3 linked regions of the Saccharomyces cerevisiae S288C genome follow. Each later gene encodes a partner of the first gene's protein in a complex. Each region holds a gene or a part of one and is shown on either strand. Other genes may lie near its edges.

What was found.
Region 2: ARC15 (region 1) and ARC40 share a complex: the UniProt entries of both Saccharomyces cerevisiae proteins name them as parts of the arp2/3 complex.
Region 3: ARC15 (region 1) and ARC18 share a complex: the UniProt entries of both Saccharomyces cerevisiae proteins name them as parts of the arp2/3 complex.

What each region holds. Positions count from the first base shown.
Region 1 is NC_001141.2:243,395-246,221, forward strand, and holds ARC15 (Arc15p), read right to left. Parts: upstream 1,069-2,827; coding exon 604-1,068; downstream 1-603. Other genes in the region: YRB2 (Yrb2p), read right to left, coding at 1-350; U1 snRNP complex subunit SNP1, read right to left, coding at 1,263-2,165. UniProt on the Saccharomyces cerevisiae protein: Functions as a component of the Arp2/3 complex which is involved in regulation of actin polymerization and together with an activating nucleation-promoting factor (NPF) mediates the formation of branched actin networks.
Region 2 is NC_001134.8:684,938-688,377, forward strand, and holds ARC40 (Arc40p), read right to left. Parts: upstream 1,656-3,440; coding exon 501-1,655; downstream 1-500. Other genes in the region: DAD3 (Dad3p), read left to right, coding at 40-324; VHC1 (Vhc1p), read left to right, coding at 1,964-3,440. UniProt on the Saccharomyces cerevisiae protein: Functions as a component of the Arp2/3 complex which is involved in regulation of actin polymerization and together with an activating nucleation-promoting factor (NPF) mediates the formation of branched actin networks.
Region 3 is NC_001144.5:861,218-863,766, reverse strand, and holds ARC18 (Arc18p), read left to right. Parts: upstream 1-1,512; coding exon 1,513-2,049; downstream 2,050-2,549. Other genes in the region: Rho family guanine nucleotide exchange factor ROM2, read right to left, coding at 1-1,053; Hsp70 family ATPase SSQ1, read right to left, coding at 2,242-2,549. UniProt on the Saccharomyces cerevisiae protein: Functions as a component of the Arp2/3 complex which is involved in regulation of actin polymerization and together with an activating nucleation-promoting factor (NPF) mediates the formation of branched actin networks.

The DNA of each region.
Region 1 (2,827 bases):
GTGTCCTTTTTGGCAACACCAAACCCAGTTCCAAATTTAGATGCGGCACCAAACACGAATTTATCCTCCTTTTTGTCATCTTCCACAATACCAGATTCTACGGTCTTTCCGTCGTCAACCTTGATCTTCTTATGCGATGGTTCTTGGTCTTTTTTACCTTCCTCCTTTTTCTCCTCATCATTTTTATTGGGTGCTTCTGATTTGTCACTCGTTTCTTCCGCTTGTTCATCCTGATCTTTTTCCCTCGGTCTCTTAGGAGTTCCATCTAGTTTATCGATAGGATTTTCAACTGCAGTTTGTTTCACCTCAGAATTTTCCCTGGCTGCATTGCCACCATTGGTCTCACTCATGCTCTCAAAGTTTATGCGTACTTGTTTTGTGCAAATTGATTTGTTGACATTTTGGTTTGAGTAGCAACTGAGCTTTTTAAAATCCAGGCATTTATATCTTCAACCTCGCCAAACAATGTCAATTTTTTTAAAAAAAAACTCAATACCTACATCACCGCGAAATGCCTGAAGTAAAAGCATATAACAAACGCGACCCTTAAAATTACGTATATATATGTATATTTCTTTATACTAAGTTTTACTGGGCAGAGTATCATACAGTTCTTCTATCCGATATATAATGAACGATAGGTGTGACACCACTGACTTGAGTAATTCTTTCCAGCCACGCAAGCAAGACACCCCCTTGTTTCTGGCCCTGAGGTACGGACATTCCTTTGTAGAGATACTTTACCAGCACGTCCCTCTGAGAATCACTCAAATTTTTGATTACATTACCAATATCGGCTTGCCTGACTTGTGTCAATGCTTCAAGGACGCTCTTAAAATATTGCTCCTTTGTTGGAGCATCTGCACTGTATGGAGGATCGGTTGTGAGTAATTGAACGGCTCCCAAAGAGTCACCACTTGTGGCAAGCGAGCGCAATTGATTCATTCGAGGTTGTAATTCTTGTAATGTGACAGTAGTTTCGTATGGTGGTACCAGATCGGCAGCGGTTAGTCTGCCACTCTCTGGATCAAATGCATCGATGTCAATTCTCCTCCAATCGGCTTCCATTGCTTGATCGTTCGCGTGTGTTGTGTTGAGTCTTCTCTGGTCTCCTTTGCTATAGTATCTTGTGTTAAATGCGGGCTGTTTTTCTCTTATTTTGTTATAGGGGCAAAGTCTGAGAAAGGGAAAAAAGTATCCAAATTAACTGATGTGCGGGTAATCATAGACAACAAGTAGCAGAGTTTAAGTATTACTTATATTCAATAGTCGGGCGCTTCTTTGGGAGCTGGTTGAGACTCTCGAGTCCGTGAGTTTCTAGATTTATATACAGAAGTAACAGCAGCAGTAGGAGTGGCGGCGGAGAGCAATGGCCTGTTTCCACGGTACCTCGCGTCCAATGTGGAACTGCCGTATCTATCAGCGCTATATGCGGAGGAAGAAGTTTCCCTGCGTGGCAGCCTGGGAGCATAATTTCTTTCGGCGGGATTTGATGTACTTGCGCTTGCAAACCTTCCTGGAAGCCTGCTGTCTCTGTTGGAATAGCCTCTGCCTCCTAGGCCGCCGCCCAATCTTCTTGGCTTGAAATATTTAACGGTTCTGCCTCTTTCTATGTCGACTATGCAGATTCTGTCTTTGATTTGGATACCTCTGTGTACTCCAATCTCCTTGAATGCCATTTTACTACTTATTGGGTCTTTGAAAACTATGAAGGCGTAGCCTTTACTCTTCTGGGTTATCTTGTCCTTGACTATCCTAATTTTTTCGATCTCGCCAAACTTAACAAAATACTTTTGCAGTTCAATTTCGTCAAGATCGTATGGTAGCCTCCCAATAAATATCGTTCTGTAGGGATCTGTGTCCTTGATATGAGGGTCAACGTTAGGATTCCAATTTTGTAGTCTCCGGTCTAACAATTGAGCATTTTTGATCTTGGAAAGTTTGATGTCTTCGTATCTTTGGAGATGGTTGTTTGGAGATCCTTCAGGAAACTCCTCCATATAGTGCTTCAAAGAGGTTGATAGTAAGTTTGCAACGCCAGTGATATTTGGATTTGTTTGTCTCTTCGCATATGGGTAATCGGTTGGTCTTTTGTAAGATAAAGGTGGCCTTGGCTTGAAAAGTCTCGACACGTCGTCTGGATACTTGGATAGATTATAATTCATCAAGGTTGAGGTGCCGATTACTTTTTTAAGGTTTCCTTTCGACAGTCGATGACCGTGCTGTGTGTCATTATCTTGCAGTTCTTTTTTTCTTCAGATGCGTTAATTTCCTACGAAGGGCGCATACAATGGTGCTGATGGGATTTATGAGCAAAACAAGTAGGCGAGCAAGACATGAACGAAATTGTAATGAAGCGTACTTCCTTTTCCCTACAACCTTAAAAAGGTCTCACTGATATATCCATTCGCAATAATGACAAGATTTTTGCATGGGACTTCTTTTTTTCTTTTGAATAAGTCGCGTTATAAGGACAAAACATTAAAAAAAAATATGTATTGATTCACTGATTTATATATACAGAAGTAAGTACCGGGGTACCTAAATATACGCATAAAAGTCTCTTTCTTTTTTTTTTTTTTTTTTTTAGCTTCCTACATTTCGTTAATAATATTATATAGATTATATTTATATTTAAGAAAAGTAATATCAGCATATTATGAATAGACAAAAAAGTCTAAGGTCAAGATTTATTAAATGTTAGATTATTAAGATTACAATTAACAACATTTGTTGTTACTTCATAAAATTTCGTTACTTCATAAAAGAACTACAGTCCCCCACTTCTAAATGAGTGGTTGTAGGGGTTCATATACCTCCCATACTG
Region 2 (3,440 bases), on another chromosome or scaffold:
AAAGTCGCTGTGAAACATACACGGCGTTGTAGTCACAGTATGGAACACAATCTTTCACCTTTACAGCAAGAAGTATTGGACAAATACAAACAGCTTTCTTTAGATCTAAAAGCTCTGGATGAAACTATAAAAGAACTAAACTATTCGCAACACAGGCAACAGCATTCACAGCAAGAAACTGTATCGCCAGATGAGATACTACAGGAGATGAGGGACATAGAGGTCAAAATTGGTTTAGTTGGGACACTGCTAAAAGGTAGCGTGTACTCGCTTATCTTGCAAAGAAAGCAAGAACAGGAGTCTTTGGGTAGCAATTCTAAATAATGGTTTGGTGCAAGAAATTGATTCTGATGCTTTATTTTTTACGGTACACTACATTGTGCTGTGAGTTGTAATAATATAGTCTGTATATGCCAAGTGAAGAAAAAAACAATACAAACTCAAGGTGTATTATGAGGTAGGGAATACACATAACAATATATATATATACGTATGTATATTTAAATTGTATAAATGACGATCTTACCGTCTAACCCACAGGAAGAGACTTGTGTGATTTGGCCGTTGGATTCCGCAAAAGGTCTTAATTCCACAATGGCGTTTTCATGTGCACTTTCTTGGACATCTGTGCTAACTTTACCTTTCAAGTCTAATTCTTTAAACTTTCTCAATGCGGAAATACCGAAAGTTGAACTTTCATCATTATTACCACTCAGCTCGTCTGTATTACCAGATGCAGTTAAGGCAGAAGACTTGTTATTGTCTGATTTGTCTAGATTCTTCGCAAATTTCCAGCCTTCAGAGGCTTCGCTGAACAATACCGGATGACAAGAGTATCCTCCACAAACAATCTCGTGGTCGTTTATCCATACTAAGGACCTGTAAGGTAAACCTTCCGGAGCATTGACAGATTGCACTGGAGATTGGTAATCGACAACATTCAAAGTACCATCATGCGCTACATAAGCAATTCTTTCCATCTGACTTCTCCATTCCACATCATGGATATAAGAACCCTGATACCACTCCCTGATTAAACAACCAAAAGGGAATTTCTGGCCCCAGGGTGATCCGGCGACGGATTCCTTGGAATCCAAACCCTTGATAAACCCGCTGAACACACGCATAAACCCATCAGTACCACCAGCAGCTAATAGGACTCCATTTGCATGCCAAGACAGGCAATTGATGGTAGATTTGATGGGTTTCTTGATGTGCTTGGATACCCACCAATTATTCTCGTGTTCGTAATAACAAACAGCGATGATTCTAGCACTGGACCCAACAGCAAACTTATAACCATTTGGTGCCCATGTAACTGAAGTAGCTGCTCTGTTAATACGAAGAAGTACTAACGTGGGCTTGTATGTCCCATCACTCAATGGCTCCCAAACGTAAGCATTACGGTCTTGGGAGCAAGTCACAATACGACCATGTATGGAAATGTCCACAGCAGTAATGGTTTTATCATGATCTTTCAACGTTGCGAATAAAACGGGAGGTGTGTTGTTTGAAACTCTATAGACAAGACAATCTGTTTCGCATGTAACGGCTAAAATAGATTTATCTTGAGAAAAGCAATGAGAGTAGATTGGCGCTTTGACCAGCTTGTAGACGGCAACAACGGACTTGTCTTTAGAATTGGAAAATGACATTAGGAGACTCTCAACTAATATACGTTTACTTCGGCTTATTTTTCCTATTTTTCTTTGTTTCTAATCTGGAAGCTTTCTCGATCAAGATTGCTCTTATTTGACCCTTTTTCATTATAGGCAAGGCGCGGGCGGGTGACAAGAAGATTTTGATAATTGTGCAACTGATAACGTAGGATTCATTATCAACATTGTTGTTAAAGAGTAACAAGGAAATCTAAGAAATGGTTGTGCTTGTTGTCGAAGAAGTGATAGAGACAGTGTTTTTGCCAGCCAATTCTCTTTAAGAATAGGCCTTTCTTGTAGGATTAATGGTTAGTAGGTTTTATCAGATTCCAGGTACGCATCGGCCATCGTCGGCAATATCTTCTTCAAATGAATCTTCTTCACTGTTGTCTGCAAGGAGAATAAGTCAAACATATTTCAATTATCAGGCGACCCCTGAATGCCAAAAAGTTTCCTCTAAGTATGATCCTGATAACCCAAACAAAGATAAGTTGGGAACATACGATGGGGTATTTGTGCCTACTGCTTTAAACGTATTGTCTATCCTTATGTTTCTTCGTTTTGGCTTCATTTTGGGTCAGTTAGGTATTATATGCACCATCGGTCTTCTGCTATTGAGTTACACTATTAATCTTCTCACCACGTTAAGTATATCTGCTATATCTACAAACGGGACTGTTAGGGGCGGGGGTGCTTATTATATGATTTCAAGAAGTTTAGGACCTGAATTTGGTGGATCCATTGGGCTTGTCTTTTTCTTAGGGCAGGTGTTCAATGCAGGTATGAACGCAGTGGGTATTATCGAACCTTTACTCTATAACTTGGGTTATTCTGCTCAAGGCGAGCCACCTGCAGCTTTGGGAGAGCTACTACCAAGAGGGCATTGGCACGAATTTACATATGCCACGGTCATTCTTTTCTTATGTTTTTCTGTGGCTTTTGTTGGCTCGCAAACAGTGTCAAGAGCAGGGAATATTCTTTTTTTGGTACTGGCAGCTTCTATATTTTCCATTCCACTTTCTGCATTGATAAGATCGCCATTCACTGAAGGCGGTATCAGTTATACAGGTCCTTCATGGCAAACTTTTCATGATAACCTGCTCCCTCACTTAACAAAAGGTGCAGCAGGTTCGTTACTCAAAGGTAAGGAAACATTCAATGATTTATTTGGCGTTTTTTTTCCTGCTACAGCTGGTATATTCGCGGGCGCAGGAATGTCAAGTGAATTGAGAAAGCCCTCTAAATCAATTCCTAAGGGTACCTTATGGGGTTTACTTTTCACTTTTATCTGTTATGCCGTTGTTGTCTTCTCCATGGGTTGTTCCATTCCCAGAAGATCGTTATATGATGAAGTACAAATTATACAGACGATCAGTTCCGTTCAGTGGGTTATATTCATGGGTGAAATGGCTACTTCTCTTTTCTCCATCATAGTGGGGATGCTCGGTGCTGCTTATGTATTAGAAGCAATTGCAAAGGATAACATTATTCCTGGTTTGGAGATTTTTGCTCATTCACCGTTATATTCATTGATTTTTACTTGGATTCTAACACAGCTATGTTTGTTTTCAGACGTCAATAAAATCGCCACATTTATCACAATGACATTCTTAATGACGTTTGTGGTCATGAATTTGGCGTGCTTCCTATTAGGTATTTCCTCTGCTCCCAATTTCAGGCCCTCTTTCAAATACTTTAACAGGTATACTACAGCAATTGGCGCATTACTTTCTGTTGTTGCGATGTTAATAGTTGATGGCATCTCAGCGTCTGTCTTGTTTT
Region 3 (2,549 bases), on another chromosome or scaffold:
TCCAGACCCGTGGACATTATTTAGGCTACTGTGACTGTTTGAAGAGTGATGATGATGATGATGATGATGAGGATCTGAGAATGGGTTGGAAGTTATATCATATTTTTGCGTAGCTTTCCTGCTGTTAGAAGTCTTCGATTGAAAAGATGATGCAATATTTTTTAGAGTAGATGAGTTCAACGACATCGATCTAGATGATATAGAATGTGAATGTTGAGGGTAATTACTGTTACTACTACCCACTTGATAATGTGCGCCATTATTATTAGTATTATTATTATTATGATTGTTAATATTATTATGCTGAATATGCTGGTGATGTTGGTGCTGTTCGTGCAAGTCTTTGGAACTTGGTCTCGAAAAGAAACCAAACCCTTGCAAAGGCGATTTTCTAGCCTGTGTAGGAGTGGTTGATGCACTGCCGGTGGAAAAACTGCTCTGCTTCTTAAGACCAGCAAGTGCTAGTTGCGGGAGCGAAGGTTTCCTCTTAGGCACAAAAGCTGTAGTACTTTTATTCTTCTGGTAAACTTCATTTCTTGGAGACATTGGAGGCAAAGGGTGGTCATTATAGTGCTTGGCTTGTCTACTAGCACTATTACTCGTTGAATATATATGGGACATCGATTTAGCATGAACAATGGGATGGGAAGATGTGGCATCTCTTGCCTTCTTTGGACTGCTCACAGGTGTATTATCAGCACTAGACAAACTTTGTGTATCTGGAACTTCCTTAATATTAGTCTGCTGCGATAAAATGTAATTTGAGCTTTTCCCCTTCATTTCGTTATTTGGTATATCAGAATCATCGATGGCGGCTTCAACTCCAGAACGTCTCCTCTGCTTGGCAATAATGATGTCATTAGCAATGTCTTCAGAAAGCAGAACATTTAGATTCTGGATATTTTCGATTCTATTAGGCAGCAGCTGAGAACTTATGTCTCCGTGCGAGTCACTATCAAAAGTAGCGAAGGAATCTGGCCTCCTTTCTACACCAAATATTTGGGAGTATATGTCATTTCTGTCCCCTAAGCTGTCAACGTTGGTTTCGCTCATAACCGCAGGAAAAGAGATGAATTGTCCAATTAAGTCAGCAGTAATAGAGCACTGTAATCGATTACACTAACAGAGCGAATGAATATATTAATGACCACAAACAACAAATAAAAAAATAGCTATAAAACAGCAAAAAAAAAATCCAGGAAAACCTAATCGGCTCAATACTGTTATTAAATTAGGTCGTCAGTACTCACTGGTCATAATGCCCTTTAAAAACTTTCTTCAAGCCTTAGGACCTCGGACTTCCATACCATTGTTTTCACTATCATTCTCTCTCAGTTTCACAGACTCGGCCGTTACGCGGATCATCCACCACGAACCCCTATCCTTTCCGTTGCGGTTTGGTTTAGTATAACAATGAATAACAATAAATTAAACACTTGGTGCGCAGTAACAAACATCAATAAAGGAAGATTATTGGTATTATCAGTCTCTCCACTCCCAGTATATTAATAAATGCCTGCGTATCACTCGACTTTCCCTGTAGATCCTAACACTGACCGCATGGTAGGGAACTTTGCGCTTCTGCCCTTGAACACTAAGTTCAGGGGTCCTGCATACCCCAGCAATTCCGATTACGATATTATCGACGAGTGCTTGGACCTATTTCGTGCCAATTCCTTCTTCAAGAATTTTGAAATTAAATCACCCGCCGACAGAGTGCTCATCTACGGAATTCTCTTTATCAATGATTGCCTAGCCCATTTGAAAATAACAACGTCATTTAACGAAGCCGTCAAAGTGTTAACCAATGTGGCCTTGGACAACTTTACTTTACCAGGTACACCGGGTTTCCCTCTGAATAATGTTTACCAAGTTCCAGTACAAGATCATAATTCGATGGACTTGTTGAAGACTTATATTCAGCAATTCCGTCAAGAATTGGCAATGAGACTATTAGAAAGAGTCTATAGCTCTACAGATTCTAAGGAATATCCCTCAAAGTTTTGGTTGGCGTTCACAAGAAGAAGATTCATGAACAAATCTCTATAAAGGTATACGGTGCAAGGAAAATAATAAAAACTAGAATTTATGGGAACATAATAATCCACATGCAACTTTATTTGAACCGAAAATTTGAAACGGGAAAGAAATATATAAATGTATAAAGTATAAATACGTCAAAATATGCTTTAATGAACGATATACACGTTAATATACAAGTCTTATTTGTGTTTTGTTCACTTATTTACCTTGATTCTGCTGGTTTTTTGTTGCGCTTTGGAATAATTTTAATGCCCTACCCTGTAGCGCATCCGTAGCTTTTTTTATTCCGTTTACATCAATTGACATGTCATTTTCGTTAGCCTTAAAATTCTTTATAGCTTGTCTCAGAGCTTTGATGTCCTCTACGATATTAGAATACTCTTTTTCGCTAGAAATCAGTTTTTCATATCTTTTAAATAAATTCTCAGTATCACTTATCATAATGTCAGCCTTAGAGATAAGCTCTAACCTTTGCCTGATCAAGTTATCTTGTGCCCTATTTGCAT